3 separate regions of the Mus musculus genome follow, and regions 2 and 3 are each reported to be linked to region 1. Evidence: microRNA targets listed by miRTarBase, many of them from high-throughput screens and not tested one by one. Region 1 holds a microRNA gene; each other region holds the end of a gene's coding sequence.
Evidence for each region. The annotated mature microRNA mmu-miR-17-5p reads CAAAGUGCUUACAGUGCAGGUAG and lies in region 1 at 1,355-1,377, shown strand. An mRNA with a match to its seed (bases 2 to 7 or 8) in the 3' UTR can be bound and repressed. Matches are read on the target gene's strand: a 7mer-m8 pairs with bases 2 to 8, a 7mer-A1 pairs with bases 2 to 7 and ends in A, and an 8mer does both.

Region 2: the mRNA of Usp3 is a reported target of mmu-miR-17-5p. Seed matches in the 3' UTR shown: 7mer-m8 at 3,996-4,002.
Region 3: the mRNA of Marchf8 is a reported target of mmu-miR-17-5p. Seed matches in the 3' UTR shown: 8mer at 912-919.

What each region holds. Positions count from the first base shown.
Region 1 is chr14:115,042,330-115,046,907 of GRCm38, forward strand. Mir17 (microRNA 17) reads left to right here and starts at 1,342; the gene lies at 1,342-1,425. It overlaps Mir18 (microRNA 18), which reads left to right and starts at 1,522; the gene lies at 1,522-1,617. Mir19a (microRNA 19a) reads left to right here and starts at 1,671; the gene lies at 1,671-1,752. It overlaps Mir20a (microRNA 20a), which reads left to right and starts at 1,828; the gene lies at 1,828-1,934. It also overlaps Mir19b-1, Mir17hg and Mir92-1.
Region 2 is chr9:66,514,326-66,518,613 of GRCm38, forward strand. It overlaps Usp3 (ubiquitin specific peptidase 3), which reads right to left. Exons shown (of 15, transcript NM_144937.4): 15 at 314-4,253. The coding sequence ends at 4,088. It overlaps Fbxl22 (F-box and leucine-rich repeat protein 22), which reads right to left and starts at 268. Exons shown (of 2, transcript NM_175206.4): 1 at 1-268. The coding sequence starts at 228.
Region 3 is chr6:116,405,980-116,410,267 of GRCm38, forward strand. Marchf8 (membrane associated ring-CH-type finger 8) reads left to right here. Exons shown (of 8, transcript NM_001302383.1): 8 at 46-3,561. The coding sequence ends at 347. Alox5 (arachidonate 5-lipoxygenase) reads right to left here. Exons shown (of 14, transcript NM_009662.2): 14 at 4,092-4,288. Among named protein-coding and RNA genes, the nearest start is that of Gm38880, 5.1 kb to the right of the region's middle.

The DNA of each region.
Region 1 (4,578 bases):
CCCGTGTTCCCGTCCGGTTTTCTCTTGATAAGCTGGCGCGGAGGGGAGAAAACTGGAGAGCGCAGCAGGGCTCGTGGTTCTTAGGTGACCAGAGGGAAGAAAATGAGCAACGTGCCACGAGGATCACAGCAGTTGGGGAAACAACTCTTTATCCCGGCGTGCAGCCACGAGGTCCTGATTGGGGGAGGGGTGGTGAAGACTAGTCCTGGTTGCCCTTTTTCTCTAGCTTGAGCTGGACAGTAGAGTTCAGGCTTGCTGCTACTCATCTTGCAGTATTTCAGGGGCACATTAATTCGTGCACGGATGTGAATCTTGGTGGGTTTTCAACTTTATTTTGTTACAGCGTTTTCCACCCAATACATTGTTGCCCTCAGGACCTTGTGGTCCTGGCTCTCTCTTTTTTTTTTTTTTTTTTTTTTTTTTTGGCAAATGGATAGAATTGCCCCTTAGGAAGATTAAGAGAAGAGCAACTTGGAATGGGGCTCGGAAAGTGGTAGTAATTTTGAGCAAATGTGCTTACCCTTTCTCTGTCTTCACCCCACCCCCAACCCTAGTCATACACGTGGACCTAGCAGCACCCGAAGCATTGCCCAAGGATACTTGCTGAGAAGGAAGTTTGCCTGAGTGGGTGAGTATATTCTAGTTTTGTAGCTAAAACTTCTTTTGAGACCTTTGGTTTTCACTTTTGTCTTTGAGCTTGTACAACATTCTTGGTCTTTTAAGGTATGAAATAAATACAGTTTGAACTCTTGTCATAAATGAGTGAGCCACATTTTAACGTAGTAAATCTACAGTGGCTTTTGGACACTAACCAAATAGTTGTAGACCCTTCAAGTTGGAGTCATAGAGTATTTCTAATTTGGGGTGATACTAAGACTTTTTTATGTTTTATGACTAATAAACTTGAAAATGACTAAACAATAATCATTAATCTTGTCGAGTATCTGACAATGTGGAGGACAGAAGAAAGGGATTGCTGCCTGGTCAATGTGAGGCTTTCCTCTAAAGGTAGTACCAAGTCAGACTGCCTTCCTGATAACAGGTCTCATTTTGTAGGACCCTTATTGTGTGTTTTTTGGGGAAGCCTACTGTAAAAGCCAACATTTTAATGGGATTGTATCTTATATTTCTTTAAGGAGTTTTTTTTTTTTTTTTAAGGCTTACATGTGTCCAATTTGGAACTTCTGGCTATTGGCTCCTCCCCTCCCCCCCTTGGGTATAAGCTGTAATTGATGTTTGTGACAGAATTTAGAGCTTTGGCTTTTTCCTTTTTGTCTAATTATTTATTTCAAATTTAGCAGGAATAAAGTGAACCTCACCTTGGGACTGAAGCTGTGACCAGTCAGAATAATGTCAAAGTGCTTACAGTGCAGGTAGTGATGTGTGCATCTACTGCAGTGAGGGCACTTGTAGCATTATGCTGACAGCTGCCTCGGTGGGAGCCACAGTGGGCGCTGCCTCGGGCGGCACTGGCTGCGTCCAGTCGTCGGTCAGTCGGTCGCGGGGAGGGCCTGCTGGTGCTGCGTGCTTTTTGTTCTAAGGTGCATCTAGTGCAGATAGTGAAGTAGACTAGCATCTACTGCCCTAAGTGCTCCTTCTGGCATAAGAAGTTATGTCCTCATCCAATCCAAGTCAAGCAAGCATGTAGGGGTCTCTCCATAGTTGTGTTTGCAGCCCTCTGTTAGTTTTGCATAGTTGCACTACAAGAAGAATGTAGTTGTGCAAATCTATGCAAAACTGATGGTGGCCTGCTATTTACTTCAAGTGTTGTTTTTTTTTAAACTAATTTTGTATTTTTATTGTGTCGATGTAGAGCCTGCGTGGTGTGTGTGATGTGACAGCTTCTGTAGCACTAAAGTGCTTATAGTGCAGGTAGTGTGTAGCCATCTACTGCATTACGAGCACTTAAAGTACTGCCAGCTGTAGAACTCCAGCCTCGCCTGGCCATCGCCCAGCCAACTGTCCTGTTATTGAGCACTGGTCTATGGTTAGTTTTGCAGGTTTGCATCCAGCTGTATAATATTCTGCTGTGCAAATCCATGCAAAACTGACTGTGGTGGTGAAAAGTCTGTAGAGAAGTAAGGGAAAATCAAACCCCTTTCTACACAGGTTGGGATTTGTCGCAATGCTGTGTTTCTCTGTATGGTATTGCACTTGTCCCGGCCTGTTGAGTTTGGTGGGGATTGTGACCAGAAGATGTGAAAATGACAATATTGCTGAAGATGCCGATTTCCACTGTAAAAATGTTCACGAGCTGATGGAGTGTATGAACACATTCTGTAAACTGTGATTTCTATTGCTTTCGTTGGTGTGTAAAACGGGATTTTTTTAATTGAAATTTGTGTTTTTAAATTGTGGTTTGTTTTTACTGAATCATTTCATTTTCGTGTTTGCTCGCTGGATTTAGTAAGAAGTTGTGTGTGGGGGCTTAGGTGAAGTTAAACTGCCTTTTGAACCTGGTATGACTTCAGGTTTATTTTACTCTAAAACCCATTAACATGAGTTAAGAAAAATGTTACTTTCTTTGGATCTCTGTTTATTAAAGTGTGACAATTCAGATGGAGTGTTTTCTGATAAGATTATTCCTAATCCGTGAGTTCTTAACAGTTAACAGGTGGTGGCCACTCTGTTAATGTGCACACCCTGTAAGAAAGAACTATCCTTGGACTGTTCTTACCATGTGACCCCCTCAAGGGAAAGATGGCAAACTGATGGTCAGTAGAGTGACAGGTACACATGACACTCGAGTGCTGGGTCTGGAGAAGCTGCAGTTAGTATTTAGGATAACAGTATATATAATATATAGTTCTACATTTGGGCAGCACAGTTGGTTTCAGGCTATGAATAAAAATCATTGGAGTGAAACCTAAAGAAAAGTAAAATTAATAAGGAAGAGCTGCTAAAATCAGGTTTAAGCTGACACTATCTACAGAGCTAAAGTTTTCCATAATATGTTGCTTTTTTTAAAAGAAATGCAAGAAGCTGACTGATGGATCCCTGAGCTGCCAGGTAAGGATTCCACAGGCCTGGGTTTGATTGTGAGTGACCAGAATTGTACAATTATTACTAAAACAGAAACATAGTCACTTCTGACTCCATTCTTAACATTTTTGGATTAAAACTTGTTTCAGATGACTAATGAAAACTTCCTTTAAAACGTGATAAAGCTCTAATGTCAGCACGATCCACATGATCCATGTGCCTCCTATAAAGGGAGGGGTCTGTCACCAGTGTTACGGATTGAATGCTACGTTTATCTTCCAACATAGGAAGCCTGCCAGGTACTTTCTTCAATATACTAAATTAGAAGTTTAAAATTAATAAGGTCTTAATTAGGACCTTTGGATGCTGAGCTTGTGGTAGTAATTGTGTTCAGAATGTTTTGAACTTAAATTGAGATTTAATTTTAGTAAGGAATGTGTGTCTTAGAGGCCTAGTAGTGAAGAGGAGTTTTCCTAGGATTTTCCTCTCTCCTCCCTTAATTAAGCTGCTTTCTGCACTAAGGGCTTCACGCAGCAACGCACTTGTTCAGTTCCGCACAGGGGGCTTTGCTGACTGTCTGCTCTAAAACTCTGTTGGCAAAACAGCTGTGGTCTCTCTTAGACTTTGATTTTGTAGTAACTAGGGCATATAGTTGCTATAAGCTTTCAGGAATGGGGGTGGGTTACTAATGTCTTATGTTATATGAAAGTAGTTAAATTTATCCTATATTAAGAAGGAAGCATTATTGAGACTATATACTGTTGATTTTACTAAAAACTCTAAGATGTCCATTTTAACAGGCAAACCTAGCACAGAAAACCAGCTGGATTTTCCCTGTGCATGGTTTGAAGAGTCAGTCCTACATAATTGCTGACACAATGCAACCTGCAACTGCCCGGAGAAAGAACAGTTCACTAAAATTTGTTGTATTTATCATCCAATTCTGTTCTGTAACTGGTAACACTAGTTTGTCTGGCTTTAGAGAATAGGTGAATCTCTAAAACAGTAGAAACAGCTCAGTTGGGCAAGGGCCGTTCTAGTAGCATGCCTGCTCCTTGGAGTTTTCCAGATTATTTTGTATAGCCTATTCCAGATTCTTGTCTAAGATTGCTTTGCTCTGTGCACTCAGAATTGGTGTGCCTTTCTATTTGTGTAAATGATATATAATACATTGCTAGTTGTCTAGGATCTATTCAGGAAGTGCGTGCTGTGAATTTTAAAGTATGGGAAGATTGTTAACAAGGGTTTCAATGTTTTGTTTTTTTTTTTCTGGTAAGCTAAAATAGAACATTGTGAGGTACCTGGTTTATTGTGGTTACAGACTTGGAATAATGTTCATTGTTTTGTGCTAATAAATTGTGTTAAAATTTGGTGTACATATGAGCATTTTTAAATAAAGTTATTTTGTAGCACTGATGATCTTGTATCTTGTTTTTTCCTGTAAGTGGCCCAAATATCTTTTTCTTGTTGAGGGCATGGGGAGACCAGTCTTAGCTTTAACCATGGAGTTTGTCTTTTGCCTTAATTTACAGGGAAGAGGAAATCATTGTGTGTCCTGATTTCAAACCTCAGAATAAGGAAAATTAGCAGGGTACC
Region 2 (4,288 bases), not on the chromosome of region 1:
ACGGCTGGAATGCCAACAGATGGACAGGCTGCGCAGCGCAGGGCTCAGCCGGAAGTTGTCTTTCTTGAGCTCTGCGAGAGAATGGAAGTGCAGCAGGGGCCAGAGGGTGGGGTCCTCAAACACATCTCGGAGCTGGGAGCAAGTCCTGGAGAGGCTCCTCCGGCTGTCCTTGTCCAGGAAGGAGAAGAGACACAGCAGACACTCCCGATTGAGCTGGGTTATGTGCATGGTGAGTGGTGGCCGCACGTGAATGCCCAGAAAGGGTCTGACCTGCCTCCTGCTTCCTCCCCAGATCAGGACTGGTGGACATATATGGTTGAGGAATGGTGTTTATTTTTGGCCAACAACTGGTGCTGAAGCTCGGGGTGGGGAGGGCGGGTGTCAGGATCCAGACTTACTCGAAGCCATCTGTGGTTCGGCTTATGTTCAGAGGGCCTGAAAGTCCTGGCAGAAGAGCAGCCCATTGAAGTTACAAGTTTTCCTTAAAAGGGATTTCTTTTCCTCTGAGCTGATAAGTGTTGAGCACAGGGCTCTTGGCTTTTACTAAGGTGTTTTCATTGGAGGTAATTAGCGACAACAGCCCTTCCTGGGCTTGCAGCCTTTCTCCTAGCAGGACAGTGAGTATTAGCTGTTAGGTATCAGAGTGTGTCGGTGCGGCTCCTCTGCTCACCCTTGCTAGGAAGAGGTCATTTTTACCATGCCCCAAACTGTGAGTGGAATCTGAGGATCATGCTTGGTACTTTAGCTCAGGACACTAATGGCTACCTTGCAAAGATGAGCTATCTTTAAACCCCAATGGCAAGGCCCAAATGGCTCCATTTTTACCCTAAACTGTCATAAGATTCATCTGAAATGTTATTTTAAAAGCTAGCACGTGTGTGTGAGACAGACAGACTGGTGCATGTGTTCTTTTTCGTGGGTGATTTGCAGAGTTTCATTATCTGTCCTAGATAGCATTCCCCAATATGTGAGGGTGGGCAGTTTCTATTTTTGAACACTTAATTGAAGTGTAAATAACTGGAAGTGAACTGCAAGTCTGATGGGTTTCAATGCTTGCACACAGCCCCCAGCTGCCCTGCTTTTTAGGAAGCTGTGCTGCAGATCTGGAAGTATGAAGCTGCTCTAAGTGCATACAACTTGGTGGAAACCTAAGACTACTACAGCTTCCCCTGAAAGAACTCCACAGAACCCCTTAATGACTACTCCCCTTTCCTCCTGCCCATGTAGGCTACAAGACTGGCCCCTGATGGCTGTTGCTCTGCCATTTCTTCTTCCTTCCTCTCCTCCTCCTCTTTTTTTTTTTTTTTTTTTTTTTTGGCTTTTTGAGACAGGGTTTCTCTGTATATCCCTGGCTGTCCTGGAACTCACTTTGTAGACCAGGCTGGCCTCGAACTCAGAAATCCGCCTGCCTCTGCCTCCTGAGTGCTGGAACTAAAGGCGAGCGCCACCACTGCCCGGCTTGCTCTGCCTGGAAACAATCCACAGAAGAGCCCAGCTGGTGAGGCGGGACTAGGATGTGATTCGTCTGCAGCCAGAATGAATGGTAACGTGCACAATGACATCTTGGCATCATACAGACTACTAAGTCTTAATGGCCAATGATCTTGGCATGGCCACCACTCCCTTGAGGGCTACTGCCCAGTGGTGACAGTCACACACACATGTGCCTCCTCTTTCCTGTGCTGTGGCATCTTCTCGGGGCTGTCAGAAGACCCATGCTCTGGAAACAGTTCCTACCTGAGCCTTTCCAAAGCCTGGGCAAGAGGTGACTTCAGCAGTTGGAGGACCATGAGAGAGTTTAGGGGACGGTAGAGGTTACAATGGGTTAAACATATAAAGTAAACCAAAGAAGTGAAATAAATCTGAGCAGGTACCACAGGTGTGACACACGACACTCAACCAGGGCCAGCGCATATGACTGGTTTAATTACATCATCTGCCACTACACACTGAGTAGAATACAGTGGATAAGCTTAGAGTTCTCCACCATGGAGAGACTTGTGTTGCCACAAACTGTTTCTATCCCCACCTGTGTGGGAGGACTTGGAGTTTCCTGTTGCCATGGGCTGACAGGACAGGATATGCATGAGGCCCTGCCTCAGCATACGCTCTGAGCAAAAGTTGCATGCAGGTTAGAACACACGTGGGAAAGCCCTAGACAGTACAGAGAGAAGCCTGTAACCGGTGCAGTAAGGCTAGATTTAAAACAAATAGGCACATGTACTTCATCATGGGTGTTCAGATGGGCACTGCATATGGGTGCAGTCACTTTCTCAAAGAGTCTTCATGGTGTCACTCAGCCATTGCTGCTTAAGTAAAACCAAGCAATAAAGCTGCTACAAAAATTCCAGAGATGATTCATTCCCTTGTATGCCAAAGTGTTGCCTAATGACCACTCTCCCCACAGAGCGGCCCAGTCTGCTGCTGCTGCTCCACCTGGCTTGACAGTGCCAGCTCTGTGTGCGTACTGTGTAAGTCATTACAGTTGCCCAGTCAGAGGCAAAGATATAAATGCCAGAGGAGCCTGGATTAGTGGGAGCTGTGTGCAACGTTAGATGAGACTCATTTAGGCTTAGCTGTGATGTTATCACAGTTCTGATATATTAGAGCAAATCATTCGACCCTCGATCTGTGGCTCAAACCAGCAGAACTAGAGCTGCACATGCCTCTACCTCATGGAACTCAGCACACTTCCTCTTCCTGCACTAAATCTAAGTTGTAGTGCTTACACATGTCACAGCTTTGTTGTTCTGCATAAAATTTAGACCTGTGTTGTGCAAGAGAACCCTATGGAAAGGTACTTGCCCTGCACTGTCCTGTACCCAGCCCTGACATAACTAGTGTGACCAAGGACACACTAGTCATACGGTCATTGTACTGAGGGATTCAAGTTAGTGTATTAAGGTACTGATCCAGAATGTAATTTCTGTTCTGAGGGAATGAAGATTTCTGTAGCTAATATTAATGTGGAATTGAGCCACGTCTCCATCAACTTCACTGGACAAGGAAAGCTACCAAACTTACTTGTAATAGAAAAAATATTAGTAAAAAGTCTGCATGAAGTGCATTTTGTCCCTCGAGGAGGTGGATGTGGAACAGGCTGTGTTGGAGTTGTACACTCTGACTTAAAGGTTTCAATACCTGCAAACCGAATCACTGGCCTCCAGCATTTGCCACTAGCTGCCTTCTTTAAATGGTCCAAATAGTGCTTCTAACCTATTTCTGTGAACAGTATTTTTTAAGCTACTGAATTTAATAAAAACTATTCTTGTTCAGAGACATATACTTTCACCTGGTTCTGCTTCAGGCAGGGAGTGAATTAAAACCCAGAGCTTCTATGACTCCACTTCTGCCTGGAAGTCAGGTCTGGGGGGTAAGACCTCACCTCTGATGGTCAGACAGATCCACCCACAGGACATACCTCTACCATGCAGCTGAATCGCAGGGCTTTTAAACACGTATTTGCACTTGTCAGTGTTCCTAGCCTGTCTGCCCCCAAGAAAATATTAAAAGAAGACCAGAGACAAGAAATGGAGCAGTTCTGGAACTCTAGCACAGGTGCAACGGGACTGGCAGAGTTATTTAATGCTGAGGCACAGCAACCCTGAGACACAGCAGTGGTGACGGCCTGGTCTGCAGTCGGAAGGAATTCCTGAGCAGTCACTGTGAAACCGGTGGGCCACAGACCTGCACACACGATCCTCACGATGGAGTCGCTGACCTGGCTGCTATGAAGACAGCAGTCAGGGTGGCTCTCAGCATGTGAGTATAGAGCAAATGCAAATGTGCCTCGGTGAGAACTGAAAACATTAATATAAAAAGTCAAACAGAACTAAGTTCTGGAAACTACATATAAAAATTGAATTATTACAACTAAAGCAGCCAATCAAAATGCCTGCTGAGGTTTTCTGGTAGAACAACAACAAAAATTAGTTGGTGCTCATGTTGGGTAAGTCACTACCACTGACCAAACTAAACCCCAAACTGGAAATTGAAAAGTGCATACTGAAATTTGACTCTTGGATCAAGTATTTATGGAAAATGGAAATGTTGTCCGGTGTAGTTGATGACTCATGGTCAGGAGGTATTACAGTTTTTCTGCTCCAGCTCTGGCCTGACGCTCCACATAAAACAGAATGTAGGCCTTTGCCTTCCCAACGGTCTCCTCATCAGTCACTGTCACAGTGCTGTCATTGAAATGGAACCAGCGGCCTTCGTGAACTGCATATGCTGTGTAATGTCCAGAACCAACCCTGTAAAGAAAAGGCAAAAAGTTAAAAAAAAAAAA
Region 3 (4,288 bases), not on the chromosome of region 1:
TCTGACATGAGACCTCCTGATGAGCTAACTGAGTCTCCCCTGCAGGAATCCTAGAGTGGCCTTTCTGGACGAAGCTGGTAGTTGTGGCCATCGGCTTCACTGGAGGACTTCTCTTTATGTATGTTCAGTGCAAGGTGTACCTACAGTTATGGAAAAGACTCAAGGCTTACAATAGAGTGATCTATGTTCAGAACTGTCCAGAAACAAGTAAAAAGAATATTTTTGAAAAGTCTGCACTTACAGAGCCCACCCTTGAAAATAAAGAAGGACATGGAATGTGTCATTCCACCACAAATTCTTCTTGCACAGAGCCTGAAGACACTGGAGCAGAAATTATTAACGTCTGACCATGTGAGGGTGTCATTTCCTTGATGTCCACCAACAGCTGAAGGAATTTGTCTGCTGCCAGTTGTGTTCCTTCTTTCTGTCGTTTAATAGCATAGACTGGGCAGGTGACTATTTATAGTGGCCTCTCTTTTTCTCAACCCTCCTTGGTGTGAATGTCCTAGAATTCTTGTGGGGCAGGTACCACTGGGTTCCATTCTGCCAGGCTTCTCTGTGGTCTGGGAAGGTGGGAGACCCCATGTATCCATGACAAGGAGCTGGCTAAGTTCCAGCCCCTGGTCTTGAATAGATTATGGAAGTAAAAAGCTAAAGCAGAAGACAGAGCAGCATGGGGAGAGGAGGCGGGTGATGGAGGGTCCCCAGAGGACAGAGCAGCATGGTGCGGGAGGGCTGCTGCTGCTGGGAGGGGTCCCTCACACTAACGAGAGCTAGGAGTGGCAAGGGAGCAGTGCCTCCAGACAGCAGCCCTGCAGCCCCTGCCTTGCTCAGCTGATGCCACCACCTTGCTCGGGGGGCAGACAAGGCCTTGGGCTGTGTCTGCTGGTGTGTGACTCACTGAGAAAACAGCACTTTATGAGAGTTTTTATTTTGGAATTCCTGTGTTTAATGGGAGTGACATGTTTAAACACGTGTCACATTTAGAAATGTTCTCTTTATTGCCTGTTATCTCTTTGCATCAAAATCGAACTGAAACCATTTCTGCCTTATATATTCTGAGTAGTAGATGTCCTTCCATGTCCAGAAAAGACTTCAGACTTTAAGCAAGACAGACAGGTCTGAGACTCCATGGGAATTAATGGATGCTAAGAGTGTAATTCCTCTGGTTTTGAGCCTGTTTCCTGAAAAGTCCTATCTCACAAGCTCACCCATACATTTCTTTGTTGTGAGCGTTGAAATGAAAGGGTTTTGAGATGTAATGAATCTGAATCAGGGTGAGCATTTAAAAAACGCTCCTTTGACTGACAGATGTCTCCAGATGGAGTGGGTACACATTGGGGACACTCCTGTGATCCACCTCTGCTGTCCCCTGTGCTGACAAAGTTCTGTGGAGTCATTGCTGAGGGCTGGGAGGTCAACAGACCAGCTCTGGGATGAGGTCTTGGGTGAGCAGTCAGCTAATTGCATCGCCATTGTGTCACTGACCTGGCCTCATACCCACTTATTGCCTTAAGCAGACTTGACAGGATCACTAGGGTCCTTAGCTCCAATGTGACCTATTCTGTCTTGGGGTTACCTCCTGCGCGATATTTTCACAAGACAGACAAAATCAAATCACTACTGCTAAGTGGCCATTGCCCCTTTAAAAAGTTTGTTGAACATTTTTTTTCTTGAAGGCCATTGTCAAAGTGCCAGGCAATAGTCAACTTACAATGTGACAAGAGGAACCGCAGAAGTGTACTACTCTCCAAGTGGCTGCTGTCGGCTCCAGGGTCTTCAGATTCTCTTGAGGTGGCCAGGGCAATGCCTAGGGTCCATCTCCCTGAGCTTTGGCTGCTTCACCTGTCTTCTCCAGAGACTGAGGCAAACCGAAGATGAATCTTTTGTAGTTCCTAGTAGAAGCCCCGTGCTTAGTTTTCAGAAGCATGTGGAGGCTAGCTAGAAGGCTTGTGGAAGCAAGTTCTGTCCTGTTATCCCCTTGTCTACTCCCTGGAGTCATGGAGTTCAGTTGTGGAGCTGTTCTGCCAGGGCTTTCAGCCATTATCTAATGGGCCCACCCCTTAGGTCAGCCTGCCCTCTCTCTCCCAGACCACATAAGCCTCCCTGTGCTCACTGTGCCCCAAAGTGCAATTACTCACACTCAGTGAGGACACCAGGCAGCTACAGACTGCCCACTAAGCTCTGACTATTCCTTTTAGCAGCTGCTGCGGCGAGTCTCTGACCCTGTCCATCTGTCTGTGACAAGATGTTCCAACATTGGGTGGGCAGTCAAATGAAGATGGAGGCATTTGTAGAGAAGAAAGTGTCCCTCAATGGGGGTTGTCTCTGCACAGCTGCCCTAGGGGACTTGTACTCCCACATAGATAGGTGGCTTTGGAAGCATGGCTTCATGTTGTTCCCTTTATTTCAGGAAGGCCTGATGCTATCTCTTCTCTGGCTTCTCTGATGAACTCTGTCCTTCATCCTTCCCCCGCTCGTTTTCCCTGAAGGTTCTCTGATCTAGTAAACAACTACACATGTGACTCAGTGCAGGAGACTGGCAAGGCACGGCTGCGAAGCATCTGGCAGAGCTCTGGGTCTGCCCAGACTCTCCTAGTCCTTGCCTCTTTGGCCTCTGAGTAATTTTGCAGGGCTATCTGTCTACCCCATTGTTCCTCACTTTGAGCTTAGATATAGTGGGAAGATGGCATGTAGCTAGACCAAGCAGATCTAGGATGAGGGAGACCTCAGGCCAGGAGGGCTTGTGCTTGTGGGTCAAATGAAGAAGGAAGTCGTCTCAGGGTGTCACTGGCAGCCCTCTAACTTGGCCTTTACCCCGTATGTCATAGACCCATTCGCACAGCTTTGACTCTAGCTGCCACAAGTGAGTAGTTGAGGGTTATGCTCAAGTGTATCACAAGATTTTCCTGGAAATGTAAACATTCTCTTAGTCTAGGTCTCTCTGTCTCTCCTTTCTGGCTTCAGGACACTCTTCGTTAAGTAGGCTTAGTTTTCAAACCTGTGGGTATGTCCAAGTGGACACAGATGTGCAGGCTCAGGCGGTGGGGGATAGGACAGTTCAAGGCCTGGGGTAGTATCTAAGTGACAGAGGGGAAAGGCTGTGTGGGCAGGGTGAAGAGCTGTAATCTTGTGGGTGTGGTTAGATGCACATGTATATATTTCATTCTACCTGTTCAAATCTGGTTTGGAATAATGCAGCTTATAGCTGCAGCTCAAGGAAAGCCCAAAGCATAGGGAGAGAAAAGGCACTTGTCTCTGTGTCGGGAGTGAGTGACGAAGGCATGTAACTGGTGCACATTTAGATGCAACGTTTCAAGTTGATTGTTAATAAAAACCAAATTTACACTGGTGTGTGTAGTGTAGTTTCTAAAAAGCACTTCACATTTTAAATTTTTCTTGGAAAATTTCTAGTAATCTAAATGTCTAATTTTTTAATCTTTTTGTGTATGTTCATTGTTTCTCAGTATTACTGCTTGAATAATTCTCTGTACAGGGGATTTGTTTGTGCTATATACGGGGTGTCTAAAGTTAGCAATAAAGCCTTTCTTTACAAAGGAATTTTGTGATGAGAGTGTTTTCAAATGGGGAAGCTAGGATACCCTTTCCCGCCCACATATCAGTAAAGAATAATGAGGCCATAGGGAGAAGAGAGAGGGCCCAGAAGTAAGAGGAGTGGAAGTGGAAGGGGATTTGCGTTGATGCTAAGGTCCATGTGATAACTGTTTTAGTGTCTGGGTTACTTCACTTAATCCTTACAAACCTGCCTTAAGAGATCAAGCATCAGCCAGATGGAAGTAAGAGGAGGAGATGCAGATACTGATGCCCGTGCTAGCCTTCGGCATTGGGACAGATGAGGCGGGTGCCCTGTCATTCATTCGTGAAGGCAGCAGCAGAGACAAGGAAGCAGCCTGGATAGCCTTTGGCTGGCGAATGCATAATGAAGATGTGGTACTTATTTATAATGGGATTTTGTTCAGCTGCCAAAACATAAAATCTTCAGGTAAATGGATGGAGACACAATATTAAAGGACATGACCTGGATACAGACACGAGCTATGTGTTCTCATATATGAATCATAGCATAAATTCAGATCTTTAGATTTGTGTGTTTAATTTAGAATACCTGTATTGTCTACAAAAGCAGAAAGGGCCACTGGTATGGAGTGGGGGGCAAAGACCTTGTCAGTTGGAGGAGGTAGTAGACCAGCTTTTTTATTGTTGATCGAAAGAGAACAGTGATTTTGGTGGGGGTGGGAGTGGGGGTGACTGGACCTCAGCATGTGGT